3 linked regions of the Macaca fascicularis genome follow. The protein of the gene in region 2 interacts with the protein of the main gene of each other region in a pairwise test. Links are inferred from orthologs where the notes say so. Each region holds a gene or a part of one and is shown on either strand. Other genes may lie near its edges. The genes, in order: TMCC2, HSPD1 and SAMD3.

Evidence for each region.
Region 1: the proteins of HSPD1 (region 2) and TMCC2 interact in a two-hybrid assay, tested with the Homo sapiens proteins (2 studies listed by BioGRID). The two-hybrid records come from large-scale screens. The link is inferred for Macaca fascicularis from reciprocal best matches to the Homo sapiens genes HSPD1 and TMCC2.
Region 3: the proteins of HSPD1 (region 2) and SAMD3 interact in binary tests that used the Homo sapiens proteins (3 or more experiments, as listed by UniProt). The two-hybrid records come from large-scale screens. The link is inferred for Macaca fascicularis from reciprocal best matches to the Homo sapiens genes HSPD1 and SAMD3.

Annotation. Positions count from the first base shown.
Region 1 is NC_088375.1:63,076,647-63,086,772, reverse strand, and holds part of TMCC2 (transmembrane and coiled-coil domains protein 2), read right to left. Parts: intron 3,462-10,126; coding exon 2,919-3,461; intron 1-2,918.
Region 2 is NC_088386.1:93,112,929-93,123,508, forward strand, and holds the start of HSPD1 (60 kDa heat shock protein, mitochondrial), read right to left. Parts: upstream 6,172-10,580; 5' UTR 6,019-6,171; intron 5,948-6,018; exon of another isoform or gene 5,858-5,947; intron 5,700-5,857; exon of another isoform or gene 5,641-5,699; intron 4,712-5,640; 5' UTR 4,710-4,711; coding exon 4,536-4,709; intron 3,241-4,535; coding exon 2,988-3,240; intron 1-2,987. Other genes in the region: HSPE1 (10 kDa heat shock protein, mitochondrial), read left to right, coding at 6,315-6,317, 6,952-7,116, 9,178-9,267, 9,347-9,397. UniProt on the Homo sapiens protein: Chaperonin implicated in mitochondrial protein import and macromolecular assembly. Together with Hsp10, facilitates the correct folding of imported proteins.
Region 3 is NC_088378.1:34,199,003-34,209,683, forward strand, and holds the start of SAMD3 (sterile alpha motif domain-containing protein 3), read right to left. Parts: upstream 5,883-10,681; 5' UTR 5,859-5,882; coding exon 5,856-5,858; exon of another isoform or gene 5,714-5,855; intron 5,542-5,713; coding exon 5,442-5,541; intron 4,772-5,441; coding exon 4,582-4,771; intron 1-4,581.

The sequences.
Region 1 (10,126 bases), on a different chromosome or scaffold from region 2:
GACCAGCATTCTACTGTACTCAGTGTTGCTTTAGCCCGGCCTCCTTTGAGGTCCCTGCCATTGCACTCTTCTCCCCCACCCTCCAGTCATCAAAGCTACCAGCTGCCCTCCTTCCTGACCACTGTCCTAGGGGGCATCTCCATGTTGTGGACAGCCCATCCCACAACCTAGCCTCTCAGCTCTTGCCACTGCAAATTATCTTTCCATTCATTCCTTGTTTGCCATGCTCTATGAGTATACTCGGACCTTTGTCTTCCCTATCCCATCCCCCAAATCGTAAACACCAATGCCCTCTCCTATCTCTCACTCCTCTTTATTCTTAACATACCTGCTCCCTCACTCCCTCAGTACCCCCATCTCCTTTTCTCCACATTCATCAGCCTTCTCCTATTCCCACCTCCTTCTCTGCTAGCCAAGATTTCAAGCATTCTCTGATCCAAACCCCCAACTCCTCTGTCACCCTTACATGCCCTCCCAGCAACCCCCAACCCTGGATTAGCCAGATAATCGTTCAGCTCTGTTCCTACCCTCTGGCTAGGACCACTACAGAGAAAACAATGTGCAACCACTAGGGTGCTGCCAGCACAAATTACGAGCCTCTACAACACCAGACAGGTCACCCGTGAGTTCCTGCTCAGAGCCTTGCTCTGCCCCAAGCCAAAACTTTACAGCCCTTCTCAAGCCAGCCCTTCCCACCACCCCTACTATTCACAATAAACAGTTGCACTTTTGGTTTCTTCCCCCATAGAAAATAAAAACAAAGTAAGAATTCATTTCTGCCTCCCAGAGGTGACTCTTTGTGACCAAGGACCATGCTGACATCTGGATCTCACACCCTTTCACCTACTCACTGACCTCACCCCAGTGAGAATTCCCCTTCCTCACTGCTATCTTCGGTCTCTCCCTAATAGGGCCCTCTCCAGTCAACATGGAGGTGGGCTCAGGTGCTTCCTGACTCGAAAAAACCAACAAAACCAGACTGCCTCCACCTGATGCCCTCCTTCTTCCCAGCCAAGCTACACACCTGCCTCCACTTCCACCCTCTCCTTAATCCACAGAAGCTGGCTTCAGGTCATGGTTCCCAATGACAGCCACTGCTTGCTACTGCCTGTGCACATTTCCAAACCCAGATGTGACCTGCCCCTTCTATGCATTTCACTCTAATTACTTCCTCCTCCTTCAAGCTCATTTTTCTTTTGTTATGCTGCAAGTTTACTTCTATCCATCTGACTGCTCTCTCTCAGGCTCCTGGTGCTTGGCCTGTCACTTATATGTCAGTTGGATCTGTCCACGGCCTCCTTCTCATTCGACACATCCTCCTTTGAAGACCTCACCCATACCCATGATTTCAACCTCAGTGCCAGCTCCCAGAGCACTGGCCCCGGCTCAGGACTCTACCCCACAGACCCAATTACCAGCTGGTCCTCCCTAGCTGGACAGCTCCCAAAGGCACTTGCAACTCAACAGGTCCAAAACTGAACTCATCACCTTCCCCTCAAAACACGCTCCTTCTCCTGTGATTCCTCAACTAGAGAATTCCCCCATTTCTTTTATTTCTCTTTATTTATTTATTTTTTTGAGACTGAGTCTTGCTCTGTCGCCCAGGCTGGAGTGCAGTGGCTTGATCTTGGCTCGCTGCAACCTCCGCCTCTCAGGTCCAAGCAATTCTCCTGCCTCAGCCTCCCGAGTAGCTGGGATTACAGTCGCCCACCACCATGCCTGGTTAATTTTTGTACTTTTAGTAGAGACGGGGTTTCACCATGTTGGCCATAGTGATCTTGAACTCCTGACCTCAAGTGATCCGCCCACCGCGGCCACCCAAAGTTCTGGGATTACAGGTGTGAGTCACGTGCCTGCCCCAATCTACTCTTTATATTGAGACCTAGAGGGACCTCGTCCTGCCAGTTTCCTGCCTAGCACCCCCTGATAGCTTCACACTATTCCCAGACTCAACATGGCAAAGCCTTTTGTGATGTGGCCTCTGCCTACCTGTCAATCCCCAAAAGTGCTAGATGCTCTGGCCATAATGAACCCCCAGTAGCCCCCAGCACCAGCTTGTGTGCTTTTGTACGTCCTATGCCCTCCCTTCCCCCTTCCCCTCTCCCAGTTCTTGCCTGGCTAAATTATTTAAGATTCAGCTCAATGGTTTCCTCAAACAGGTCTTTGCCAGCTCCTTGCTCTCTCCTCAAGTCCCCTCTCCCTTGAAGCTCCCACAGCAGCTCCCATCTGTCTGTTCATTCACCCACTCGTCCCCCTTCTAGAGTGAGCTCCACAAGGACAGCAACACTGGCTTGTTCATTCTTGTAGCACAAAATAAGGATTCAATAGATACTTGTTACATGAATAAAAGAACGAATATATAAATTCATGAAGTGCCAAACTAGCTTTTCTCCTTCCCAAATCACCCTTCACGGATTCCCTATCTTCTTTGGTTGGTGCCAATAGTAAAGATGATACTACTCCAGGCTCTATTCCAAGTATGTTATATATATTAACTCATTTAGTCCTACAACTGTACTATTATTATCCTCATTTTCCACTGGTGACACAAGCATAAAGAGGTTAACTGAGTAAGTGGCAGAACCAGGGTTGCTTCCAGTCTATGCTTTAAACTACTATACATATTGCTTCTTGATAGCCCATTTAAGGAAAACAAGTCAACATTAATACCAGTATGAACAAAACACAATTTTGAAAAACAAAACCCTGAGGAAACAAAAATTAGCCATCCTGGGGATCATCTCTTGTTTTTGGCCTAGTCATATCTGACTCCTTTAACCAAGGCAGATAACTATGCAGGCGGCAGGGTGTCAGGATCTGCCAGGCAGGGCCCCCGGTTCAGCTCCCCAGATCTCAAGGCCCCTCAGCAGATGGCCCTTGCCTTTGAGTCTCCCCCTGCCCCAGAAGGCCCACCTCACCTTGTCCCCGATGCCTTCGGCCTCCTCAGCCAGGAGGTACACGTTGCTACCATCGGCCAGCAGCAGAGCAGTGTCGGTGGTGGAGGAAGAGCGGGGACGGCACTGGTGCTGGTGCAGGATGGCGGCCAGGCTGCTGTCCTGGGGGGCCTTCCGCAGCAGGTGAGGGCTGCCACGCTGGGGCTCCAGGGAGCTACTCTTGGTGCGCCGGCTGCTGCTCCCGCTGCTGCCGCCCCCACTGCTGCTGTGCAGGCTGGCGCCCCGCTTGATGGAGGGCCGGGACCGGATCTGCTGCAGCACACGGTTGAAGGCAGTGGGCCGGGCAGGCAGATCGTGCAGGGACATGGCGTAGGAGACGCGGTGCATTTCCGGAGAGCGTTCCTTCTCATCTGGGGAGTCATGGTCGGACATACCCTGCTGCTGCTGCTGCTGCTGCTGGGAATCCTGAGACGTCTGGTGCTCCCTTTCCCGAGACCGACGGCGGCTGTGGAACAGGTGCTTCAGACCGTGGCCAAACATGGAGCCCTCTGACAGCTGCTGGATTTTCTGAAGGGGGAGAGATGAAGAACCCTGGTGAGTGGAAAGCTCTTGATTGCCTAGTCAGTGTGGGGTGAAGGTGAAGGGTCTGTCCTTGGTGGACTGGCATAGCTAATGCAGCCATCTGAACCTGGAAGATCTCTATAGATGGCATGTCGTGCATAAAAGGTCACTTTGCGAAAAGGTGGCAACCCAGACCCATCCTTTCATTCCCAAAGAGATGTGCCCCCATGGTTTTCCCACAGGACATTCCCAATCAAAATGTAGATTCAGAGTTTCTAGGAATGATGCTCTCAGGGCTTCAGTCTGAGGCTTAATGGCATACATAGGTAGCACTTGGCTCATGGGGTTGTATCCCTCTACATTGATACCCCCAGCCCCAGTTCTTCCCTCCTTCCAAGTTAGACATCCCTTCAAGCTGTACCAGCTCTTTCAGGCCACCAAGCATTGATTTCCAAAGATGCCCAATTCCAACATTCGCCCAGGAAAATCAGGGTCATACAATCAGGTTACACTGTTGTAGCAGACACTGCTAATTGCCTACCCAATATCTATTTCTCTTTCTTTCTTACCAATCAAACTGCAAGGACTTAAATCACTTTGCTAAAAATTCCTGCTTCATCAGACTCCCTTGCAGCTAGGAGTAGCCACATGACAGTTTGGGCCAACAAAAAGCAAGGTGAGTTTCTGGGAACACTTTTGCTTTCCTGATAAAGGCACTGGTCCTTTCCACATCTTCCCATCTGGAATGGGAATGCAGTGCCCGGAGATGCAGTGGCCATTCTGCAACCTGATGAGGGCCTGCACACAGATGGTGGAGCCCAAGGGACAGTCCTGGGAACTTGAAAGTCTATGGAGCCACCAAACCAGTTGTGAACATCTATCCTGGAATTCTTGTTGCATGAAATAAACCCATCTTTGTCTACACAACTCTAGTATGATTTTCTGTTATTTGCAGCCAATCTCATTCCTGATGCGGTTGGCAATGAAATAAACTTTACTTCTATGAGCAAACCTTGTGACATAGTCAGTAATGTGACCAATTCTTCAGCATACACATCGGAACAAGCTATCCAAATGAGTGTCTTTCCCCTTAGACCCAAAGAGGCCCTGCAACCCAGTGCTGCCCTGGCCACAGCCTTTCCTCTCAGCCCTGTCGCTGAGATTTTCCAGCTGCTCCTCCAGCAAGACTGTTCCCAGAGGGGCAGCTGGATGGCCTGCCAGGGCGAGCAACTGTGGGATAATTCCAGACAGCTGCTTCTGTCAGGGGACGGCTTATCTGGCCAGGCTGAGCCCTCTATGAGAGCTTTGGAGCCAGTGGGAGGAGGGGTGAGACTTGGAGGACCAGGAGACACCTCACATTCTGCAGCTCCTTAGAGGAAAACTCAGGACCCAGCCATGTGGGACTCAATGAGCCATAGCAGGATTTCCTGTGATGAACAACCTACAATCTTACCAGGCAGCCTCAATCATTTAAAAAATGTTCCAAAAAATTACACAGACTGGATTTTCTTTTTTTTCCCCTAGAAACAACCTTACAGAGCAGAAAATCTAGACCATATAGAAACCAAGAAAAAGCAACCTGACATCCTCTGAATGAGCTGACCCCACTCTTAGGTTACTTTACAACTCAGCCTTGAGTTTGTGCAGATGGCTGCACTTACAGCTGGATACAAATAACCACACCATTACGTATTTGTGTAAAATATTAGGATTTTCATTTTTCACCTCATTTGAGCATCCCCAGAATCTTCAAAGTAGGTGAGGCCCTTACATCACCCATTTTACAGACCAGATAAATTACATCATCACAACTCATCACGAACTAATGGTTTTTCATTTTAAAGAAGCTTTGTATCCTGCATTATCCTATCTGGTTTTCCTAAATAGTAACAAAACCAACAACTGGAACATCTCCTTTTAGAGATGAGGAAATTAAGGATACCACGATTCCCTCTCAAGAACTGAATTCTGGGGCGGCCCTCGAGATGCTAAGTTACACAATGCCAGGTTTTCCCACAGGAGTTACCATCCCCTGGGGGCCAGCTTGAGGCAGGATCACAAGGCTCACCTGAATCTGTGCTGGGAAGAACCAAGATGTCAACTCTGCCATGGACTTGGAACGGGCCAGATCCTGCAGTGTCCAGAACAGGGACACGCCAGGACACCTCCCTCTTCCCTAGGCCCAAGCTGATGCGAGACCTCCCTCCAGGTACTGTGATGGGGCCAGCTGGCTCTGGCATTTGCCCAGCTGCCTCTGCCAAATCGTCACATTCCATAATACAAATTGTCTTTCTAGCATTCTATTCCAGGTCTCTTCCTCTTCTCCCCCCATTCCGAAACTGGCTTCTCCAACACTGAGGATCCACTCAGGCAGAAAGAGTTTCCCTTCTAAAGACTTCAGCAGAGGTCCTAGAGTTCTGAGGCATTTCTTCTCCCCTATCCCTGGGAGGCCAGTGGAGGTGCCAAGGAGAGCTATGGCAGCCACTAATGTCTGCCATATTGCCTTGGAGCCTAAAATCTTTGGTCAATTTGCTTTTAAAATTTATACAACAGCATTTTGCAAAGTGCATTCTGATTTATACTGTCATAATCTGACACTAGCCTAATCTCAGGAGCTAGAAATGTGAGACATCATAGCATCAGTCTATTTTGCAGATGAAGAAATGGAAGCACAGCATAGCTAAGTGGCTCATCCAAGCCACAGAGAGAAACCCCCAACTTCTAATTGAATTTACCTTCATGGGCCCATACACTGATTTCTTTTTTTTTTTTCTTTTCTTTTCTTTTCTTTTTTTTTTTTTTGAGACAGAGTCTCGCTCTGTTGCCCAGGCTGGAATGCAATGGTATGACCTTGGCTCACTGCAACCTCCACCTTCCAGGTTCAAGCACTTCTCCTGCCTCAGCCTCCTGAGGAGCTGGGATTACAGGTGTGTGCCACCACACCTGGCTAATTTTTGTGTTTTTAGTAGAGATAGGGTTTCACCATGTTGGCCAGGCTGGTCTCAAACTCCTGACCTCAGGTGATCCGCCCACCTCGGCCTCTCAAAGTGCTGAGATAACAGGCATGAGCCACTACACCCGGCCCCATACACTGATTTCAAGACTAAAGTAGGTAGGGTATTTGCATGCGTCCCAGAACAGTATCAAAGGCAGGAGCAAAACAAAAATGCCTGGGTCAAGGGTTGTTAGGTCCCCTGAACTGCAGTCGTGATCTGCCCATCCCATGTTATAGGACAAGACCCTCAACTATAAAGTCTTTACTTCCCATCTTCCTGAGCTGTCCTGTGGGTAAAGGAAACCTAAGGAAAGTGACCAGGAGACCCCAGGACCTTTGCCCCAGCAGACCAAGGAGTCTATCAAAGTCTGTGGCAGGCAGGAGGGAAAGAACAAAAAAGAAGTTAAAGAACAATGTGCGGAGAGAGGAGATTGCTCCAAATGAAGGGGTTTTTCCTCACTTATAAGGTGCGAGGCGGGAACAGCAAAGTGACGCATGGGCTGGGCCGCTTCTTTATGTGGGTGTCAGGGAGGAGATGGTTAAGGAGTTTTGACATAACACAGTAAGTGTTTAAAAAAAAAAAAAAAACTCAGCACATACACATAACCAGCTACAAGTTTCAGAAGTGAGGAAAACCATGGTGACTAGCTTAAGGGAACTTAGCCGCCAACGCAGCAGAAAGCACCACCTGCTCTGACTAACAGGTTCCAGCTCCTAAAATGTCACTTGCTTTTCCACATTGACTTTTGCTTTTCCCTGGCTGCCAGAAACCATTCTGGTGGCCAAATGAAGCCATGTAGTAGAGAGCTGAGAGGTGGGACACAAACAGGGCTTTCATGATCCATAAGACCGAAGCAAGAAGTGCCGTCCCCAGAATTGGCCAGAAGGTAGTCAGAAAGGAGAGCCTCCCAGGGTGAGTTGCCCTGAGGAAGGAAGTGAGGGGAGTTGGCTGTCCCTCCCTTGGAACTATCTGAAAGGGCAGGAAGGACCCCATCTCCTTGGGTGACATTGTCCTTTCAGGAAGAAAGGGAGGACTAGATGGCTTCTGAAAGATCCTTCCTGAGAAGGCTGTGGTTTCTGAACAGTTGGGCTTCATCCGTCTTTCTCCCTGGGTGTGGGTCCCCCAAAGGGGAAGTTTGCTCCAAAATCTGCAAACACAGCTGCATAAATCCAAAACTAAAATGTCTCGGGGTACAGTGTCATTGGCACCATCTGGTTAAAAATGACCAAAAGTGGTTTCTAATTTTTACAGGTCCCCGTGTTCTCAACAAATCCCAGGAAAGCTTAAAGTCACACTAATCTATAGCTAATTTTCCCACCTGGCAGCTGACTGCATAGCCCTTCCTCCTACCTGGGTTTGAAACTCCTTCCGCCCTACCAACAGTTTGGCTGTGAGGGTTCAGTGGGGTGACTGGGTCACCCTGAGCCTTTGCCAGCCTAGGTTGCCAACGTTCCTCTATTTATAGGGTCTCTATGGAAACAGGGCCAGCATTAGAGAACTAATCACTGTAAAAACCCACAGAGTTCTACTCTCAGGATCCAAAGTGGATTGAAGAAGTCTCCAATTGCCCTTAAGAAGCTCTGGGTGGGGAGCCTGGGCGGGAGCAGGAGCGGAACCATTACCCCAGGTTTGGTGCTGATGATCACAGTGGTGTACAGTAGGCAGCTGCAACTGCTCAGGCCCACTTGGAGTTTCTATTGGAAACCCAGTGATGAAAGCTTTTTGGAATCATTTCTTTCTTTCTCAGCCTCACAGCTGACATTAAAAAAAAAAAAGTCTCAACTCATGGGCACACAGGCAAATAATTCCCCCATTCTCAATTTTATTTTGATTCCTTTCTCCTTTATTGCTTAGAGAATTCTGCCTGGAGCCAAAGCAAGTGGGAAAAGGTCACCTCATCCACCATGTCTTTAGGCAGAACTGATTCAGCACACACCAACATAGAAGACTTTTATTAAAGTTCCCAGCATGGTGTGCCCTCTCTCTGCCTCTTTGCATCCTACCCATCCTTCACCACCTCGCCACTCCATAAAGACCTCTCTGATCACACCAGTCTGCAGCGATTTCACCCTGCTCTGAACACATAAGCGCTCATTATCTGCACCACTCATTTTGCAATTAATCGTGTACTGCCTTGCGACATCGCTTCCAGTGCTCTCTCCAACTGTTATCCAACTTCTCACCTGCTGATGGACGGAACCTTTGAGGACAATATGAGTGACTGGACAGCAGGAGCTACAGCACCTACATCTGTGTCCCTAACATTACCTGGCAGAGGCCTCAACACAAACATGTAAGACTGCTACGTAAATCATTTGTTCATTTATTTTCTGAGCAGCCACTATCCAAGTCTCTACAAATCCATCTTACAAAGGTGATTTTAATCCTTAGATGGCTATCTTTTCCAAAGACATAACCTTTCACAAATATTTCAAATGCTCCAACAGCCTTTTCTTGTGTCTAACTCAGATTTCTCCTGCTGTAGTTTAAACCCTCTTCTCACTCTATTATCTTAGTAACCGCCAAGATTGAGTTGGCTTGGGAGGAGATGAACACAGGCCAAGGAGCCAGAATGTGTGTGATGTCTTCAAGAATGGCTTAGGGAGGGCTCGGGTGGGGGGGCTCATGTCCTTATAGCCAGCTTTGTTTTCCCTGGTGGACATCACTCAGTTAACCTGGCTGGCATAAGGAAGCCTTTAGTCATTTGGTTTGAAAATAACTGTTCTTTTTTTTTTTTTTTTTTTTTGAGACAGAGTCTTGCTCTGTCACCTAGGCTGGAGTGCAATGGCGTGATCTCAATTCACTGCAACCTCTGCCTGCTGGGTTCAAGCAAATCTCCTGCCTTAGCCTCCCGAGCAGCTGGGACTATAGGGGCACACCACCATGCCTGGCTAATTTTTTGTATTTTTAGTAGAGACGGGTTTTCACCATGCTGGCCAGGCTACTCTCGAACTGCTGACCTCGTGATCCCCCCGCCTCAGCCTCCCAAAGTGCTGGGATTACAGGCGTGAGCCATTGCGCTCAGCCAAATAACTGTTTTTCTAGCACAGTCACAAAACATACCTGTTATCCCCAACAGCTTTGTTCTAACTTCTTACATGAAGAGAGACTTCAGTGTTTGGCTGACAAAGGTGGACCCTGTCCAGTTATGGCCTCATTCCAAAAATGTACCATGCTAGTAGTCTACGGGGATTTCAAAGGCAGATGCCATTTCTTAAGGGAGAGATGAAAACAGAAATGAGTTTTGAGTTGGCCTTTAAGACCACCACTGAGAAGCTGCCTGAGCCCTTTTCCCCAGCTCCTGATAACCCCATACTCTTTTAAAACTTCAACCCAAAATTTAGGTCCTATCAGATGTTTCAACTCCTTGTTGAAGGAAATTCTTAATGGGATTGGCAGTGAAGACACAATTAGATACACAAAAAGCAGCACATTCTGTAAATACTGAGCCTGCCAGACAGTTCCCACTAGAACAACTAGGGCAGCTGGGAATTAATCTAGAACTCAATATGTGGCAGGAGAACAGGGAGCTTCGTTTGCCACATGCTTTCCCATCGGTCACCAGTTCCCCCAGAGCCCACATACAGGGCTGCTCTGGATATTACTGAAGGTTGGAGGGGGTGGGGATGGGGCAATCCTGGGCCTTCCAACCCTCTGCCTGCCTCATAAGGTACA
Region 2 (10,580 bases):
TGGCTTCTAAGTCAAGTAGAAATCTTGAGATTCGTTACAAATATTTTAATGCCTTAAATTTATTTTTATTATTTTTTTTGAGACAGGGCCTTGTTCTGTCGCCCAGGCTGGAGTGCAGTAGCACAGATCACGGCTCACTGAAGCCCTGACACCCTGGGCTCAAGGGAGCAGCTGAGACCACAGGCTCAAGCCACCGTGCTCAGCTCGTTTTATTTTTGTAGACAAAGTCTCACTATGTTGCCAAAGCTGGTCTTGAACTCCTGGGCTCAAGTGATCCTCCCACCTCAGCTTCCCATGTAGCTGGGATTACAGGCATGTACCTATGCTTGGTCTTTAGTGCCTTAATATTAAATTTACACACAGCTTCTGAGACAGTGCTTCTTAATAACACAGAGTTGCATGGCATGTACTTAAACAGTAACTTTAGGTTCACACAGTAAATAAAATCTCACAATGCCAAAATTTTGAAAATAGGACTAAGGCCGGGCCTGGTGGCTCAAGCCTGTAATCCCAGCACTTTGGGAGGCCGAGACGGGCGGATCACGAGGTCAGATCGAGACCATCCTGGCTGACACGGTGAAACCCTGTCTCTACTAAAAAATACAAAAAACTAGCCGGGCGAGGTGGCGGGCGCCTGTAGTCCCAGCTCCTCGGGAGGCTGAGGCAGGAGAATGGCGTGAACCCGGGAGGCGGAGCTTGCAGTGAGCTGAGATCAGGCCACTGCACTCCAGCCTGGGTGGCAGAGCGAGACTCCGTCTCAAAAAAAAAAAAAAAAAAAAAAAAGAAAATAGGACTAAAACAAGGTAGATATGTATAGTTTCAAGAGTCTCACCACTGAACTCATCCTATGCAAATTATTCCTAACTCAATCATGCTGCCTGTTTTCAGTAGGGTCCCCAACACTTCTCATGTCCATTAGATGATGCAAAAAAGGACCAAAATGGTTAACACTCCCTTATTTTCAACAAGAAGTATAGTTCTTAAGTGATAGGAATCTGTTGTGACTATGCCTCTGCAGGTGTCAATTATCTGAAAACCCCTCAATTTAGTATGTATTATGAACTAACAAAATATTTTTGTTTTACATCACTCTTAACAGTCCTATTTTGCTCAACTGGGAGTAGTGCTAGCTCTCTTGTTGTTTGAGAAATGTTACTTCAAAAAAAATCCAATGCAAAGTGTTGGGAAGTCCTCTTCATAACCTTAATACTTGTTAGTGATTTACAGTAAAATTGCTTTTAGTAGCCAGGCGCGGTGGCTCAAGCCTGTAATCCCAGCACTTTGGGAGGCCGAGACGGGTGGATCGCGAGGTCAGGAGATCGAGACCATCCTGGCTAACCCGGTGAAACCCCGTCTCTACTAAAAAATACAAAAAACTAGCCGGGCGAGGTGGCGGGCGCCTGTAGTCCCATCTGCTCGGGAGGCTGAGGCAGGAGAATGGCGTGAACCCGGGAGGCGGAGCTTGCAGTGAGCTGAGATCCGGCCACTGCACTCCAGCCTGGGCTACAGAGCGAGACTCCGTCTCAAAAAAAAAAAAAAAAAAAAAAAAAATTGCTTTTAGTGAAGTGTAGTCACTTGGTCCATAAACATTGAAATATATGAGGTAATGATACATTAGTATGCCAATTCTGACAAAAAATTATCAATAGCTCCCCCACCTTCACTCACAAGAGGGTTCCTGGTTTCAACCCTAACATACGCTGGATATACACAGCAATTCTGCTGATAGGAAAACCAAGTCTTAGCACACAGCTAATAAATGACAAAGATGGGACTAGAATTTAAGTCTACACTGCCATGAAGTTCATGCTGAGGAGCAAATCTGTTAATTAAGTTGCACTCCAGTTACAAGCACTAACAAAACACAAACCAATAACACGGTGTGTGCTATTAAGAAAAAATAAACTAATGGGCCGGGCGCGGTGGCTCATGCCTGTAATCCCAGCACTTTGGGAGGCCGAGGCAGGCAGATCACGAGGTCAGGAGATCGAGACCATCCTGGCTAACACGGTGAAACCTCATCTCTACTAAAAAATAAAGAAAATTAGCTGGGCATGGTGGTGGGCACCTGTAGTCCCAGCTACTCGGGAGGCTGAGGCAGGAGGTTCACTTGGGAGGCGTGAACCTGGGAGGCGGAGCTTGCAGTAAGCGTAGATCACGCCACAGTACTCCAGCCTGGGGGACAGAGCGAGACTGTCTCAAAAAAATAAAAAAAAATAAACTGAGGAAAACATTACTTTCTGCCGGGCGCGGTGGCTCAAGCCTGTAATCCCAGCACTTTGGGAGGCCGAGACGGGCGGATCACGAGGTCAGGAGATCGAGACCATCCTGGCTAACACCGTGAAACCCCGTCTCTACTAAAGAAATACAAAAAACTAGCCGGGCGAGGTGGCGGGCGCCTGTAGTCCCAGCTACTCTGGAGGCTGAGGCCGGAGAATGGCGTGAACCTGGGAGGCGGAGCTTGCAGTGAGCTGAGATCCGGCCACTGCACTCCAGCCTGGGCTACAGAGTGAGACTCCGTCTCAAAAAACAAAAAACAAAAAACAAAAAACATTACTTTCTGACATTCTGAATGATCCAGTGTATTCAATCTTACTTTCTACAAAACTAAACTAAAAATTAGCCAGGAATGGTGGTGAGTGCCTGTAGTAGTCCCAGCTACTTGGAGGCTGAAGCAGGAGGATTGCTTGAGTCCAGGAGTTCCAGTGCAGTCCAGCCTAGGCTACAGAGCAAGACCCTGTCTCTAAAAACAAAAGAAACCAACTAAGTAAAACATCAAAATTACCTAACAGTACCTACCCACCATACAGCCAGGCATTCAATCACTACTTGCTAAAGGAAAACCCAGTTTAAGATTTCTCCAGGCCAAGAGGAATGAGAGAAGGATCAATTTCCTAAAGTAACAGACACTCTCCTTAGCTCCAAGGAATCAATGCCTTAAAGCACACTGAAGTTTAGAACACTGTAGTGACAATAGACATTCCTACCTCTCCTGATTTCCACGGGATTAGCACCTTTGCTAATCTTCTCGAAGCCTTCCTTGGCTATAGAGCGTGCCAGTACAGTAGCAGTGGTAGTGCCATCCCCAGCCTCTTCATTTGTGTTATTGGCAACATCTTGAACAAGTTTAGCTCCAATGTTTTTATATTTATCCTTTAAGTCAATTGACTTTGCAACAGTCACACCATCTTTTGTTACTTTGGGACTTCCCCAGCTCTGCTCAATAATCACTGTTCTTCCCTACAAGAAAAAAAATGTAACAGGATCACACATACCCTAAGGATTACTTATATTTTAAAAAATGAGCAGTCTTCATAATAAAGCAACTACTTCAAAGTCTCCACATAAGTTGTGTCATTTTTATCAGTCTTGCAGCATGAATCTCAAGGGCAAGTTTATCGACATTCTTTGTCTACAGACAGAATGACCTGTTTCTCTGCCAAGAGCATAATTTTGAACTAAGTAATTTAGAAGATTAAAATACTAGGGACTAAAATTTGTCATCTTATAAAATGAACAAGAACACAAGACAAAGAATAAAACAATCTTCCTATCACTTATACCTAAGTTTTAGTTAGTGCCTGTTATCTTTTAAAGCAATGTGACTTGTTTTAAAATTCGTTTAAAATATTAACCATCAAGGCAAGTAGTGTGCTCTTCCAAGTTCACTCAACATACAACTTCAACCATGGCACAGTTATTGACCATCCTTTGGATTTGAACTAAAGCTGCTACTTTCTATTCGTGAGGTGTGCAAATGTTGTGTTTTATGCAGTTGTTTGGATCACTTGATATCTGAACTGTCTTCAAACTGAAATGAAGCACCACTTGACCGCACACCACCTTCAAAGCCCCCCTCAAAATATTACCCCTATTAAATGAGACTTATTTTAAATATGCTTCGGAACAAGAGAACAGCAGAAAACCGATAGGTAAAACTAGCATCTTGAGGTGGAGGAGAGAATGGGAAGCTACTGTATAATGAGTACAAAATTACAATTTTCCCATATAAAAAGTTTTGGAGATGGATGGTGGTGGTGACTGCACAACATAAATGTAATTAATGTCCCCATGTCCCCAAAGTGCACACTTAATGGTAATTTTATGTTGTGTACATTTTACAATAAACCAAAAAAAAAAAAAAAATTTAGCACCTACAAGCACATACCTGAGGGATTATGGAAGATAAGTTAAACTCTTCTCTCTACACTTGGCATGAACTACTCAGAAAGGATCCAAATTTTAACTTAGGCAAGCAAAATTCTACCTCGAGTTTAAGAATCCATCTTGAGCTATGTTACTACCCGATTACATCACACATTGAACAAACTAGTTTCGAAAATCTGGCTGAAGCAGTTTAAGCTTTAAGATCATGTCTAAGAAAAAAAAAGTTAACCAATACTTCAGAATTCTTACATGTAAACTGAGTTCTCAAAAATGGATACGAAAGTACTGTTCAACAGTTCAGTGCGACTATTTGTGAGCAAAATGCTATTAATACTACCATAATTATAATAAAATAAAAATACTGATACCTTTGGCCCCATTGTAACGGCCACAGCATCGGCTAAAAGGTCCACACCTTGAAGCATTAAGGCTCGGGCATCCGCACCAAATTTTACATCTTTGGCATAAGCCCGAGTGAGATGAGGAGCCAGTACTCTGGACACCGGTCTCATCTGGCGAAAGACTGTGGGTAACCGAAGCATTTCTGGGGATGGAAGCAAATAGATAATCAGTACTACCACCTATGATGCGCTGCAGCACAAACATGCGCACCTGTGCAACAGAGCAAGCAACGTGAGATGGTGAGCCTGGCTGACCTCTGCCAGCCACTACACCTGAATGACGGAAGGCGCCGCAGCTTCGGAACATCAGCCACTACCGCAAGCTAAAGAGCCGCCCCGGCGCCTGACCTATAGCACTAGCACAAAGCACATGCAGCTCCTTCCCCACGGCCACCTATCCCTGCCGCCAAAAACGAGTTAATCTTTCACCGCGAAAACGGCCTTGTGGGCAGACCCACTCCAACTGTGGCCCCTGAGAAACCAAGTCAGCCGGAGAGAGGCAAGTTACAAATCCCAGTGACCAGGGAAGCTGAAAGTATTCCTGGCGGTGCAAAAAGCAGCTCAGCAAAGTATCTCCATGGATCCACCCAAGGCTACTGTATCAGAGCAGCCAGCAAGGCCGCGATGCTGGGGGCGGCGGCCCGGCCCACTCGGCGCGGGCCCACGTCTTTCCGAACGCCCCCAGCAAGGTCAAGAGTGAAGGCGCGGTATCCCAGCTAGCTGCGGGGGAAAAAAGCGGTTCCCTCGCGTACACCACCCTCCCCGGTTCCCCGAAGTCGACCAGGCGCGGGTTGCACCAGCGGGCCTAAGTGGCTACAATCCCCCAAATTCAATCCCCGTGAGTTGTCCCTCCTGCGCCCAGCCGAGGTCCAGGATCCGCGTCGCACGTGATGGAACCCGCATGGACCCGGGAGGCCTGGACCCGGGAGGCCTGGACCCGTGGGCCTGGGCCTGCGGTGCGGTGCAGAACTCCAGGTTGTCGTCGCCCGCATCCTCCAGCAGGACCTCAGAGGAGGAAGGCCCACTTGGGGGTCGCAGGCGCCGGGGAAGGCGGCGTGGGAAGGCCGCATACCTGCGGGGCGGCGGCGGGGCGTGCGCGCGGCGAGACAAGTCGTCGGCGGCGAGTGAGGGACAGAGTGCAGGGCGCACACGGCAATGAGCCCGTGTCCCCTCCCTCCGCCTCTCCCCCCGCCCCGGGGCACCACGTGTGCAGGCAGCTCCCACCCCCTTCCCGTCAGCCGGGCCCCTGCAATCTGCACACCCTGCGCGCGAGCCCCGCCCCTCCCTACCCGCGCAGGGTGTGCTAGCGCGCTCAGCCCTCTCCCGCCGGCTTAGGCTAGTTCCCGGGCCGCGCTCAGTTCCAGAACTTTCCGGAAAGTGCCGCGCTCCCTACGGGTCAAGGGTAAAATCGCGTCATTTCCGGGAGGGGACGAAGGGGTAGTTCTTTCACCTCGGCTGGGCGCCTAGAAAAGCCTAGAAACAGCTCCTCTTTTCTTCCGCCTCCGAGTCTTCGCGTCAGCGGCCTGCGCAGGGCCCTTGGGGCGAATCGCGGCGCGCGTCGGGGCGACCGCCCTTTCTCGCGGGGAGGGGCGAGGGGGCTAGCGGCGGGGGTTGGGGCGAGCGCGCCTGCGCGCTGGGCGGTTTTTTCACGTGTCGCCAGGGCTGCGCCGCGAGTCTCTCCTTGCCGCGAGTCTCTCCTTGCGGCGCTACACTAGAGCAGAGTACGAGTCTGAGGCGGAGGGAGTCATGGTGAGTCCCGCGTGGCACCGAAGCCCGCAGGCCCGGGCCTGTCTGAGGCGTACGGGGATCACTGACGCCCCTCTTTTGTTGGGCTAGGCGGGAGGGATTGGTGGCCACTCAGTGACCAGCGCCCGCCGGCACCTTGGAGCGGCAAGGCCTGCCCGACCCTTTTCTTCTCCGGGGGCTCTTTGCACGCGCGTGTGCTGCGGGTGTGTAAGGCAGGTGGCGGGAACCCGGATGCAAGCGCAGCGTCCCACCTGCTCTGCAGGGCCTTTGTGGATGTGTAATATCTTGGGTAAAAAGCATGGTGCCAGGCAGGGAGATTGACCCAGCGTTTCTTGAAAATTTCTGGAAAACCCTGAAGAAGGAAAACATTTGACCTTGGATAAACTAAGGTTGACCTTAAAGCTGGTCTGGTTGCTCACCAGAGGAGCGACAACGACCCTTAACAGATGTAAGGAATCGGGAATTAAACTTGGAATATTGGTTAGTACATTCAAATGCGTTTCCTTAACGAATAAGCTGAGGTTTGGTGTTAACTTTCGAAGCCAAAACGTGTTGAGATGTATACAACACGGTGGCGTTGCCTGTTGATAATATGATTACATTTAGTTTTTGTTTCAAAACATTTCTCTTCCTACAGGCAGGACAAGCGTTTAGAAAGTTTCTTCCACTCTTTGACCGAGTATTGGTTGAAAGGAGTGCTGCTGAAACTGTAACCAAAGGAGGCATTATGCTTCCAGAAAAATCTCAAGGAAAAGTATTGCAAGCAACAGTAGTCGCTGTTGGATCGGGTTCTAAAGGAAAGGTAAATGGGGGCTGCGGTGGAACTATTTTTTCTATAGTGTGCAGTGGAGGGAAAAGGAGTAATTCTGGAGTATTAAAAGTCTCCTATTAGGTAGAATTTATGTCATGTCCAAGATAATTAACTGCTTTGGTTCTAATCTGTTTCTTAAAGGGAAATGACTAATATAAAGTTGCTTATTTTATATGACCAATGCTATGATGTTTATTTTATGTGATAGTTTCGAGTATTAAAAATTGTCTTCAATACGCCGGGCGCTGTGGCTCACGCCTGTAATCCCAACACTTTGGGAGGCCGAAGTGGGCGGATCACAAGGTCAGGAGTTCAAGACCAGCCTGACCAACATGGTGAAACCCTGTCTCTACTAAAGATAGAAAAATTAGCCGGGTGTGCTGGCATCCGCCTGTAATCCCAGCTACTGGGGAGGCTGAGGCAGGAGAATCATTTGAACCCTGGAGGCGGAGGTTGCAGGGAGCCGAGATCCCGCCACTGCATTCCAGCCTGTGCGACAGGGCAAGACTCCGTCTCAAAAAGAAAAAAGCCTTCAATAGCAATTTGGTAGCCTAGTATGATCAGTGTTTGCCTTACATTCTAAATTTTTAATAAGACAAAAGATGCTATGCATGGTGACTCACACCTATAATCCTTGCATTTTGGGAGGCCAAAGCAAGAGGATCATTTGAGCTCAGGAGTTCGAAACCAGTCTGGGCAACATAGTGAGACCTAGTATCTAAACAAATAAATAAATAAAGACAAAAGATGTGCTTCAAGGTAAAATGAGGGGGCATTTAAGAATTGAGAGGAGGCCGGGCGCGGTGGCTCAAGCCTGTAATCCCAGCACTTTGGGAGGCCGAGGCGGGCGGATCACAAGGTCAGGAGATCGAGACCACAGTGAAACCCCGTCTCTACTAAAAATACAAAAAATTAGCCGGGCGCGGTGGCGGGCGCTTGTAGTCCCAGCTACTCAGGAGGCTGAGGCAGGAGAATGGCGGGAACCCGGGAGGCGGAGCTTGCAGTGAGCCAAGATCGCGCCACTGCACTCCAGCCTGGGCAACAGCGTGAGACTCTGTCTCAAAAAAAAAAAAAAAAAAAAAAAAAGAATTGAGAGGAATCTTGGACTATTCGTTTAACCCCTAACACATTGACATTGCCCTAATCTTAACCAGTTGGGGCCTTAGTTGGTGTACCTATCCGAGGAACAGGTTGGTTAGTCTTGTCCAACCTGCAGCCCAGGACAGCTTTGAATGCCACCTAACACAAATCCCTAAACTTTCTTAAAACATTTCTTTTGCAAGTTTTTTTAAGCTCATTAGTTACTGTTAATGTTAGTGTACTTTATGTGTGGCCCAACACAATTCTTCCACTGTGGCCCAGGGAAGCCAAAGGATTGGACACCTCTGTTTTAGATGTTCCTCAGTTAACTATTTAGGCCTTAGGCTTCTAAAGATGTCAGCCAAAATACACAGTAAATGCCTAAATGCCGCTGGGGCCAAATAATGTTAGCTGCATTGTTCCAGTTGCTTCTGAGGAGGAAAGCTGTATTGAGGAGCTGTCATGGAGTTAGGAAGGAATAGGAAGACTTTGGGGAGTGGACACTTAGCTGCAGTCCCTTTCCCCAAATCTGTACTTTGGAGGGAACAAAACAATATTACATTTTTGTATGTTGAAGGAAAAGATGACCATTTGTATATGGCATTTCCTGGGTGCTGGCTACCGTTGCAGGTTTATTTCATATAGTTGATAAGTTACGTTAATATTTAACAGTTACAAAGTTAGCTTTAGTTAAGTAAAGTTAGCTTTTCCAGAATATTTTCTTGAACTTTTATATTGGAGTCAGGTTTTAGTTTAAGCCACTGTGTATTATTTCAAAAGTGTGACTACAGTGGTATTTTTGAGTGAAGATCTGCAATTCTAGTATGAATCGTATCACTTAGCCACCAAGTGTATTTTTAATATAATTGAATTTGAGTGAGTGTGTTTCATTAGTTGTAGTGATTTAAAAGTTAACTGTTTATGTTGGGTGAACTAGATATGTTTGCTAATAAACATCCTTCCTTTTTTAAGGGTGGAGAGATTCAACCGGTTAGCGTGAAAGTTGGAGATAAAGTTCTTCTGCCAGAGTATGGAGGCACCAAAGTAGTTCTAGATGACAAGGTGTGTAAACTTAACAATTCTAAAAAGAAGTCAAATATTTGCGATTAGGTGTCTTAACTAACGGTTTATTCACTTGCAGGATTATTTCCTATTTAGAGATGGTGACATTCTTGGAAAGTACCTAGACTGAAATAAATCACTATTGAAATGGCATCAACATGAAGCTGCCCATTCCACTGAAGTTCTGAAATCTTTCATCATGTAAATAATTTCCATAGTTCTCTTTTATAATAAACTAATGACATCCAGTGTCTCCAAAATTATTTCCTTGTGCTGATATAAACATTTCCAAATAAAAATATGTAAATGAGTGGTTAGTCTTTAGTTATTTTAAGATGGTTTTAGGGTTTTCTAGCTTATGCTGTTTTCTGTTTTTCAAGTAACCTGCAGAGAATTTTGGGAAACAAGATTTTCTAGGTAGGTGCATTTTCATACTGAATTTAGCTTTATTAATACATGATTGATACTGATACCAAGCCATGGATTTACTTTTTTTTTTCCCCCCCTGAAATGGAGTCTCACTCTGTCACCCAGGCTGGAGTGCAGTGGTTCGATCTTGGCTCACTGCAATCTCCACCTCCTGGGTTCAAGTGATTCTCCTCCCTCAGCCTCCCAAGTACCTGGGATTACAGGCACGTGCCACCATGCCCAGCTAATTTTTGTATTTTTGGTAGAGACAGGTTTTGCCATGTTGCCCAGGCTGGTCCCGGACTCCCAAAGTGCTGGGAATTTTTTTTTTTTTTTTTTTTTGAGACGGAGTCAGGCTCCGTCGCCCAGGCTGGAGTGCAGTGGCCGGATCTCAGCTCACTGCAAGCTCCGCCTCCCAGGTTCACGCCATTCTCCTGCCTCAGCCTCCCGAGTAGCTGAGACTACAGGCGCCTGCCACCTCGCCCGGCTAGTTTTTTGTATTTTTTAGTAGAGACGGGGTTTCACTGTGTCAGCCAGGATGGTCTCGATCTCCTGACCTCGTGATCCCCCCCGTCTTGGCCTCCCAAAGTGCTGGGATTACAGGCTTGAGCCACCGCGCCGGGCCCCAAAGTGCTGGGATTACAAGCTTGAGCCACCACTGCAACATTTAGATTCCAAATACAACAAGCTAATGAGTTACAGGTCTTAAGGTGTTCCATAATTTGTGTATACAGGTTTTCATTCCTAACTCCAATTTATGTAAATACAAAGTATTTTTTGCATGGTTTAACATACTGAATTCCCAGGTACACAAGTACCATGTAAATTGAGGGAATAATTATACTTTCCTTTTTCTTGTCTTTTTTTTTTTTTGGAGACAGTCTCACGTTGTCACCCAGGCTGGA
Region 3 (10,681 bases), on a different chromosome or scaffold from region 2:
TTAGAAACACACTCTACTAACTCCCTCATTTTCCAAGTAAAGCAACTGAAGCCTAGAAGGCAAAGCAACTCCTGGTGAGCTACTCAGTAGCAGTGCCAGGATTTGAACTCAGTTTTTCACCTTCCTGACCAATGATTTTTCTACCAGTTTCAACAAGAACAACAACCAAAAAGCAACTGCAAATATGCCCGCCTATTTCATATCCCCATCATTTGCTGAGGTATCAACAAGATGCTAAATATCCTGCCCAGAAGTGGCCTACAAATCCTTTTTAAAATAACGTGCCAGGCCGGGTATGGTGGCTCACATCTGTAATCCCAGCATTTTGGGAGGCCAAGGCAGGTGGATCACCTTACGTCAGGATTTTGAGGCCAGCCTGGCCAAGATGACAAAGCCCTGTCTCTACTTAAAACACAAAAATCAGCTGGACGTGGTGGCAGGCACCTGTAATCTCAGCTACTCGGGAGACTGAGGCAGGAGAATCACTTGAACCTGGGAGGTGGAGGTTGCAGTGAGCTGAGATCGTGCCATTGCACTGTAGCCTGGGCAACAAGAGTGAAACTCCATTAAAAAAAAAAAAAAAAAAGCCAGGTGTAAACCAAAAATAAAATTCTAAGGCCCCCAACCATTTGAATGGACCCCTCCTCTCAGCTAAAGGCACTCCAAAATTAACCTGAAAAACTAGTTCAGGCCATGATGGGAAGGGAAGGTTGGACATGCTTCATTATACCCTCCTCCCTTTTAGAATTCAGGAAAAGTTGACCAGCATTAACATCAACACAGACATTAAGTCTAATAAGAAACATTTATGGGCCAGGCATGGTAGATCATGCCTGTAATCCCAGCATTTTGGGAGGCCGAGGCAGGTGGACCACGAGGTCAGGAGATCAAGACCATCCTGGCTAACACAGTGAAACCCTATCTCTACTAAAAATACAAAAAATTAGCCAGGCGTGGTGGCTGGCGCCTATAGCCCAGCTACTCAGGAGGCTGAGGCAGGAGAATCGCTTGAACCTGGGAGGCAGAGGTTGCAGTCAGCCGAGACAGCACCACTGCATTCCAGCCTGGAAGACAAAGCAAGACTCCATTTCAAACAAAAAAGAGATACATTTATGATCTATTCTCTCTGAAGCCTGCTACCTGGAGGCTTCATCTGCATGAGAAAACCTTAGTCTCCACAACCCCTTATAACCCAGACATTTCTATTGATAATAACTCTTTCAATCAATTGCCAATCAGAATTTTTTTTTTTTTTTTTTTGAGACGGAGTCTTGCTTTGTCACCCAGGCTGGAGTGCAGTGGCCGAATCTCGGCTCACTGCAACCTTTGCCTCCTGGGTTCACGCCATTCTCCTGCCTCAGCCTCCTGAGTAGCTGGGATTACAGGTGCCCGCCACCATGCCCAGCTAATTTTAGTAGAGACGGGGTTTCGCCGTGTTAGCCAGGATGGTCTCAATCTCCTGACCTCGTGATTCGCCTGCCTCTGCCTCCCAAAGTGCTGGGATTACAGGCGTGAGCCACCACCCCTGGCTTTTTTTTTTTTTTTTTTTTGAGACAGAGTCTCGCTCTGTCACTCAGGCTGGAGTACAATGATATGATCTCGGCTCACTGCAAACTCTGCCTCCCAGGTTCAAGCAATTCTCCTGCCTCAGCCTCCTGAGTAGCTGGGATTACAGACACCCACCACCATGCCTGGCTAATTTTTGTATTTTTAGTAGAAACGGGGTTTCACCATGTTGGTCAGGCTGGTCTCGAACTCCTGACCTCAAGTGATCTGCCCGCCTTGGTCTCCCAAAGTGCTGAGATTACAGGCGTGACCCACTGCACTGAGCTGCCAATCAGAAAAATTTTAAATCCACCTGTGATCTGGAAGCCCCAGCTTTGGGTTGTTCTGCGCTTCCAGTTCAAACAAATGTAAATCTTACACTGACTAATGTGTTATGTCTCCCTAAAATGTATAAAAGCAAGCTGTACCTGACTACATTGGGCACATGTCATCAGGACCTTCTGAAGCCGTGTCATAGATGCATCCTTAACCTTGGCAAAATAAACTTTCTAAATTGATTGAGACCTGTCTCAGAGACTTTTGGGTTCACACAGGCAACCACTAGCCATTAATGGGAATCTACTCAAACGGAAACCTATCAGCTATCTCAGATCTAGAATGCCATCACAGACTCTTTAGAAGGGACCTAAAGTATCACTTATTCTATCTACTTCATTTTACAATTGAAGAAGCTAAAACTAAAAGGGGTCAGACAAATTTCCAAGGCTGGATGAAGGGCTAATATCATGACAGGGGGTTGAAATCAGGTGTCTTGATAGCTAGCTTCAGGGTTCTTCTGTACACCAAGTCTCCTATCTTTATTAAACACTCTCTAAGGGGGTTTAATTACACAGCGTATTCTCATACCTCTTTCTACTATCATTCTCCTTGATGATTGTCAAGTGACAACATAGTTAATAAATATATTTGACAATAAGCAAATACAACCAACAAGCATTTTAATCAAATATAAAGCAGTAAGTTTTCTCTTCTCACATGCAATTGTAATTCTGCACCAGAAGAATTTAATCTAAATACAAGACAAACAAATCCCTAAGGTGAGTCAGCTGCTTGTGGGTAGAGTGCAAAGTCCCCACTCATAAATCCCCAGACAAACAGTGGTCCCAGTCTTGGCCATGTTTGAAACTAGCTTTCTTAACCCGGTTAACAAAGTTTCATATTTAACACAGGACTATTTTAGTCTAGGAGAAAAAGGACAGATTTGCTCAAAGATTGTGATACTCCTAACATCAGTGTGAATTAAAGACGAGGTAAGTACCATATTACTTTTCACAATGTACAGATGAAGAAGCAGGAATGCCAACATTTAATATAATCAATCCAAGTCAGTGGTAGAACGAGGAAGGAAGCCCAGGTTTCCTGGCAGTCCAGCCAGTTCTCTTTTGCTTGAGAACATTACAAACTGATTTGCAGTGGAAACAAGACTGCCTGTTTTCTTCTAAGCTGTGCCTAAGGCAATATCAAGATTCCACTCAATGGAAGGGAACTTCCAGCTCAAAAGTCCTACTCATCCCAAAATACAAGGAAATTACCCTGATCTCTCTTTCAGGTTCCTACCCTTCCCTTGCTGGGAAGGAGTAAAAGCTTGCAATGGGAACTTCATCAAAACTTACATGTTCAAGAGTGTCCTCTTTTACACAGATATGCCAAAACAATGTTTAGAAATCCTTCAAATAAATCAGCTGGGGGCCGGGCGAAGCAGCTCTTGCCTGTAATCCCAGCGCTTTAGGAGGCTGAGGTTGGAGGATGGCTTGAGGCCAGGAGTTGGAGACCAACCTGGGCAACATAGTGAGACCACCATTTGTTTAAAAAAATAAAAATAGATTAGCCAGGCATGGTGTTGAGTGCCTGTAATCCCAACTACTTGGGAGGCGGAAGCAGGAGGATTGCTTGAGCCCAGGAATTCGAAGCTGCTGTGAGCTATGATCCTGCCACAGCATTCCAGCCTGGGGGTCAGACTGAGATCCATCTCCAAAAAAACCAAAAAGCTTTTTTTAAAAAAAAATCAATTAGTAGAATTTCCAGTCCAGCTCTATACCATCCCTTCAAGGCTACCTATTCCCCTCCATGTCCCAAATATTCAAATATTCTAGAAATAAACTTGCTTATGTCAGGTCTCTACCATTATACTACTTATCAAGGAGAAAGAGAGAAATCTTTATTATTACCAATCTAATCTCAAAAAATTAAAGTAAAAACATAGAATAGATTTTATCAATCATCAAAATCTTTAAAATTTATTTAATCTTAGAAACCTTACAAAAAAATCTTGAAAATGGAAAAATCAAATCAGAATGGCTGAAATGATCCCAGGGCATAGATGGATGTGTAAAATGAAAATTTCAGCCTTATAAATCCTGTATCATTTCTTTCCATTGCAGAAGTCAGTGATTAAAAAACAAACAGATAAAACCATCCCCAAACTTCAGAGCTTTTATCTGCCACCACTACTTTTTCTACATGATTTTTTGGGGTGTTTCATAGTATTCATTATTATAAGGATACTCTTAAAAAATTAGAAAACTCATGTGACAATAATGTGTTTAGCAAATTACATCGTAAAGGCAAGTAGAGGAGAGTGTAAGTTCATTACTCTAAGAAATCCTAGGAAAATAAATAACTAGATTAATAAATAAACAGTTTTGGGAAAAGCAAAGGAGCAATCAAGATGCCTTTTCCAAAGCCTGATCTTAAAACCAGAGCTTCAGGATCCGTTTCTCCTTCTGTTACATGTCTATTTCACCTGCTTGTTCCACAGCATTTTACATAGAAACTCCTTGCTAATAGGACTTCCCTAATGATTGGAATCAGTGTTTAAAAAATGGTGTATAAGAAAGTTTCTTGACTCTTAAAATTTTACAACGTCCTTTGCTCAAATATTAGAAATACTGTACATACAGTCTAGCAGAAAATGATCACAATTTTCAAAGGGCTTTAAACCCAAACGTCATGCTCTAGACACCATTGGGAAAACGGGAAAAAAAAAAAATTAAGGCCATTTATGAACATACTCACTCTCGGGCTGCTTCTGTTTGCATGACCAGGGCTGCCTCTTTGGGGTTTTCTGGGGACTTCAGTCCTTGAGTGTTCTGCTTGTATTTTTTAATTAAATCCATCAGAACAGCCTGGTGCCCAATTTTCTTTACCAGTTGCTGAACCATCCGATCATTAAGTGCGAGAAGAGCGGCCCCACTTACTTCTTCCTCTGGGAAATAGAAAAAAAATTAGTTTCTACATGGCTTTCTGGCAAAACACAGGCATTCTGAAGAGGCAAAATTCCCTCTAGTGATAAAAGGATCATCTAAACTTGTCCCCTGCCATTATAAATGTATCCATATTTTTGACAAAGACAGAACTCCAATGTTGCATAATTCCAAATCAATGCCTGGTCCTAAGAAAGCACCAGAACATGGAATCACAATAAAAAACTTATTATTTCCACATTAACACCCTCCCCATTCTAGTTCTCTCTAACTGGTATTGTTTTATAAAGAAAAAAACCTTAGGAAATTATTCTTCGTAATACCTCCTAGCCGGTATTGAACCTTATAAACCCAACACTACAAAAAGTACATACTGTATTACTTAAGAACAAAAGCAATATTAAATGCATATATCAAATATGTATTTTAAATGACCCGTAAGACTTTATTTTATTTGAGTTCTTGAAACACTATATTCTCCTGTGGATGTTACTTTCAAGTGGAAACTCTGCTACAGTCCATAAAGAAATGTAAAGTTCTCTACTGCAGCAACCCCACATCCACATTTACATGCACACAGACATTTGGCAACAAAAGTAATTTTCAGTAAGAGAGGACATCAGAATATCTAGGTTGCTCAATTAAAATTTTTGGAAAGTATAAACAACTCACCTTGAAACCTATGAACTAGCTCGCCTAAATTTTTCTCCACCAACCAACTGCAGACCTGCTCAACTGACCAAGTTTCCATTGCTGTCTCCTGTAAATATACCTGTAGAGCAAAAGGTCAGAGAATTCTCCAGCTTTTCTTTCTGATTGTGCCTTAATTTTTTTTAATAGCCCCTTCCTTTGCTAGACTCCTTTATACTCTCAATGTTAAGCTTTTTAAAAATTACGATTTTTACAATGTACATTTAAAAATTGCTAACAAAACACACACTCACTTTAAAAATAAGACCTGATTTAAAACTATTTCCTAGTATCTCATTTCTCAGATTTCTTCACCTTCTCCTACTTTTTTTCCACAGGCATCCTAAGCTTTACTAACAGACAGCCAGAGACACACAATGGTACCCAATCCTGTACCATTAACACCCAGGTTTCTTCACAAAGAAAAGAAAGGTGTGAAATTCACCAGTACCAGGCTCCTCAGGAAGTGGTTGACATTTACAGAAGGGGTGGGCAGGGGAGGAAGGGAGGAAGGATCAGATAAAAGCCTGACAGAGATACTTAGTAAACCAAGACTGGTTAACCCCTTGCTTCTCCTAGCTAGGAGAAGGAGATTGTAACTTACTGCTTCTCATTGTTTTCCTTTAGCAAGAGGAGGAAGTAGGACCCAAATTTCTCAGGAGAATCTGAATGTTTCTGTCCTTCCTTCCAATACTACTCTTACATATCCCTCTGAGTTCTAGAACTCTATTGGACACTGTTATGATTGGTGAGATAACTAGGATAAACTACCACTCTGACTGAAAATTTTTTACTTAATTGGGCATATTCAAAATTGGAAAATAATTAAATATGTTAATAATTATTGTGAAAGAAGCGTAGGCAAAGTTTGCAAGATACATTCTTTAACTATTTCAGTTATTTTTGCATGCCGCTTGTCTCCAACCACTTAGAAAACTTAAAGCTATTTCCCTAAGGAAGCTTATTTCTGGTTTTTGTAATTAAATCCAAAGGACTTCTGATGGACTTGGAGGCGGGGTGGGTGGGGAGGGAACTGAAATAAATTTAAAATATTTTAACCTTTTATCATTACTTGTCAATTTGAAATCTCAATCTAAATGATATAGATTTACTTGTACATTAAGATACTGACTATTCTATAAAGACCAAGGAAAAAGCTACTCTTGGAGAAATGGAATCATAAGGAAAGATAAAAATGTTTATTAGTCGTGAATTTAAATTTTATTGATGGAAGTTTTAAATAGAACTATTGTTGTATTTTTCATTTTTGTATATTTAAATAAGTTACAATTACGAACATTATAGTTAAAATAGTGGAAAAGGGGAAAGATGTTTACCTTGCATATGTGACAAGCTGGAAAGATAGTCTTCAAGAATCATTTCCTAGAAAAACAGGTAGACTTCAAAGTATTAAGCCTCATACTCATAAGTATTCACAAACACCAACTTGAAAAATTGAAAACAAGGGTTAAATATAGAAGAACATCTTTCTGAATTTCAGCAGTGGATTTAATTTGCTATGACAAACAGTAGCCATATAACTCCTCCCCTAGGCTAAGCAGCAATAGCAGGGTGTGAAAAGTCATTATTTGCGAGACTCTGGTGTAAATTAAAAATCACACCTTTCTGTCACACTTCTGGCTTCCTTGCGAAGATTAGGACTTAGGGAAAAAATAGAAAATAAAGAAAAAATAAAACAATTCTCTAAGCTCTACGATAAAAAGGTATGCAGAGCAGAAGATACTGCCTTATAGTCATCTATGGATAAAAGGAAACTTGAAAATAAAATGAGTACTTGGAAATGGTCACGTATTTTTAAATTTGCAGATTTTTACCACAATTCTACTTCTGGGAAAAAGAAAACAGGTTAAATTATAATGTCATACAAACATAATAACATTAAAAAGCATATAGTTTTTGCCCAGTAGTTTTTCTGGAGAGTTTATAAAACGGTATCACTGACTAAACAATGTAACATCTTTTGAGTAGTAACGTTACAACTTCTTCTCACATAAATTATGGATATGTTATTTATGATCTTCTACACCATGAAGGCATAAACTATATATCAAATGAGAAAAGATATATCTGGTAGCTTTATTCTGAGCTTCAGAAACATCTGAAAATATTTCAAAATGTGAAGGCAAGCATTAACCCTAAATAGTTGAAGGCACAATAATTTTTAAGAAGAATTAATAATACTTTACTAATTAAAGTATTCTTTAATAAAATAATTCTTTAATACTTAAAGAATTAATAATTCTTTAAGAAGAATTAATAATTAAAGATTAATAATTTTTAAGAAGAATTATGTATGAATGCTCCTGCTAAACCATTCCATTATTTGATTGAATTAAAAATCAAGAAAATAAATTTGTATTAAATATTACAGGGCTTCATCTAACTAAAGCCAAGAAGAGGTAAGACTTTAGCTAAAGCAGCCTGAATATGGGTAAGCTTTATTTAATAAATTTGTTAAAACTACAAAGGAAGATTATAGGGTCATCTGCTGTGAATGTGATTTATAATCTTCAAGGGGCAATCTAACATAAAAACATCAACCACCAAAGAGCACTTTTTAAGAAACTATGAACACTTTTTGTCATCTTTCTTTCTATTTGCATTTTTAGTTTTATTCCTCTGAAGTCCAAAAGCTGAGACAATAAAAGATTCCTAAAAGTTTTGCTGGCAGCATATGCCGTCTCCTGGATCAATACCTCATTCTGCCCTGAGAAAAAGTATCTCCTACCGTGGCTGAACTTGAAGGGACGAAACATTTATCAAAAATCAGTTCCAGGCTGCGCGTGTATAAAAGAAGGAAAATTGAGGTACAAAAATAAGGATGTGGCTGTCACATACAACAATGTCGGGGCAATTCTCTTGGGTAGCAGCCTTGCTACCATGGGAGGTGATAGTGTTGTAGGACTCTCTCTTTAGTTCAGCTAAGAGTTGGGTTCTTGTCATACAGCCATGAAACATAAGGCTCACATTCACTTTGAAGGGTGAGAAAAAAGGAATTTATTGGGCGAAAAGGAAAATAAGGGGAAACTGGCTCTCAGCAGAGCGAGAGTCCTGCTAGTATATGCTTCTCATCTCACAGATTGAATTCCAAGTTCCCACACCAGGATAAGAGAGGCCAGGTCCTCCTTGCTGCAAACTGCGTGAACTTCCGTGGCTCCATGCCATTCTCTTAGTGCGCAGGCTGGTTGGAGGTTCTCCAGGGACCTCTTCGTACTCCGGTGTCTCAATAGCAGCATGATGTTCCAATGGAACATAACATCTCATCCACTATGGCCTGATGATGTTCTTCCAACCATCGCCAGACCACATGAAATAAACACTGAAATATTCAACTCAAATACTTTGCATATGTTAGTCACCAAGATGTTTACTGACTAGATAGCTAGCCCAAAGTGGGGTGGATGATGATACACTAAAGAAGTTAGAAGCCTTACTAAGAAGATAAGATACATAGATAAGCAGAATATGATATACAGCCAATTATGATGGATGCTTTAGAAAGCACCCTGAGGCTGGATTTTCCCACAGTGTCCTGGAAGCAAATGGATCTTGATTTGGAATCTAAATAATGGACATAGTTTAGATAGCAAAAAAACTGGAGAAAGCAGGACCAATGTAATGAACTCAAAGTAAAAAACCAGAAATAAACGAGTCATGTTTTGGAACCTCAGGGAGGACCATGCTGCTTGGAATAGGCACCACATGGTAGGGAACCACAGGAGACAGGGTCTGAAGATTGCAGAAAGGCTTAGAATGTTAAGAGTTTATAGATATGCCTAAGCTTGGGAGAGTCATTGAACTGAGAGTATGTTCCATGCTTTGGAAAGATTATTTAGGCAGCTGAGTCAAATAAATGACAGAAAAGCATTCTTTCTTGAAGCAAATTGTGTATGAGATGGAAGGCCTTAGCCTTTACTAAACATTCATACATGCACCAATTTTCCTTCGTTTTTGAAAACATAGATATTTATATTAATGTTTTAAACATTTAAGGAACAAAACTATTAATTTTTTTCATACATCCTGGTCTGAAAGGGAGTGACATCTATAAAGCTTGCAGACACCAAGCAGGTGAAACACACCAAAAGGGGCTGTCTGTATCCATTATGCTAAAGCATATGAAACAGTCATTTTTTAAATTATAAGGATTTATTTTTATTTTATTTTTTTAAAATTTTTATTCCCATAGGTTATTGGGGAACAAGTGGTGTTTGGTTACATGCGTAAGTTCTTTAGTGGTAATTTGTGAGATTTTGGTGCATACATCACTGGAGCAGTATTCACTGCACCCAATTTGTAGTCTTTTATCCCTCACCCTTTTCCCCACCTTTTCCTGAGTCCCCAAAAGTCCCCAAAGTCCACTGTGTCATTCCTATGCCTTTTCATCCTTATAACTTAACTCCCACTTATGAGTGAGAGCATATGATATTTGGTTTTTCCATTCCCGAGTTACTTCACTTAGAATAATAGTCTCCAATATCATCCAGGTCACTGCAAATGCCATTAATTCATTCCTTTTTGTGGTTGAGTAGTATTCCATCATATATATACCACAGTTTCTTTATCCACTTGTTGATTGATGGGGATTTGGGTTGGTCCCACATTTTTGCAATTGAGAATTCTGCTGAAACAGCCATTTTTGTACATATAAGAATTCAAGATCAGTAATTTCCTATGGCTTAAGTTATTAAAATCTTACTTTTATAAAGATTAGTGTCTCTGTTGGTTCTTTTTATCTAGCAAGACTTACCAGAGTTGTCTGTAATTCACAACACCTCCAATAAATTTGAAGGAAAAAGTGGTGAGCACAGTCATAGTAACTTAAGTTTCATATTTTTCTTTTTTTTTCTTTTTCTTTCTTTCTTCTTTTTTTTTTTTTGAGATGGAGTCTCGCTCCGTCACCCAGGTTGAAGTGTGGAATGCAGTGGCACAATCTCAGCTCATTGCAACCTCCACCTCCCGGATTCAAGCCATTCTTTTGCCTTAGCCTCCTGAGTAGCTGAGATTACAGGCGTGCCACCATGCTGGGCTAATTTTTGTGTTTTTAGTAGAAACGGGGTTTCACCATGTTGGCCAGGCGGATCTCGAACTGCTGAACTTGTGATTTGCCTGCCTCGGTCCCCCAAAGTGCTGGGATTACAGGCGTGAGCCACCGTGCCCAGCCAATTTTCGTATTTTCAAAGAAACTAAACAGCCACTTA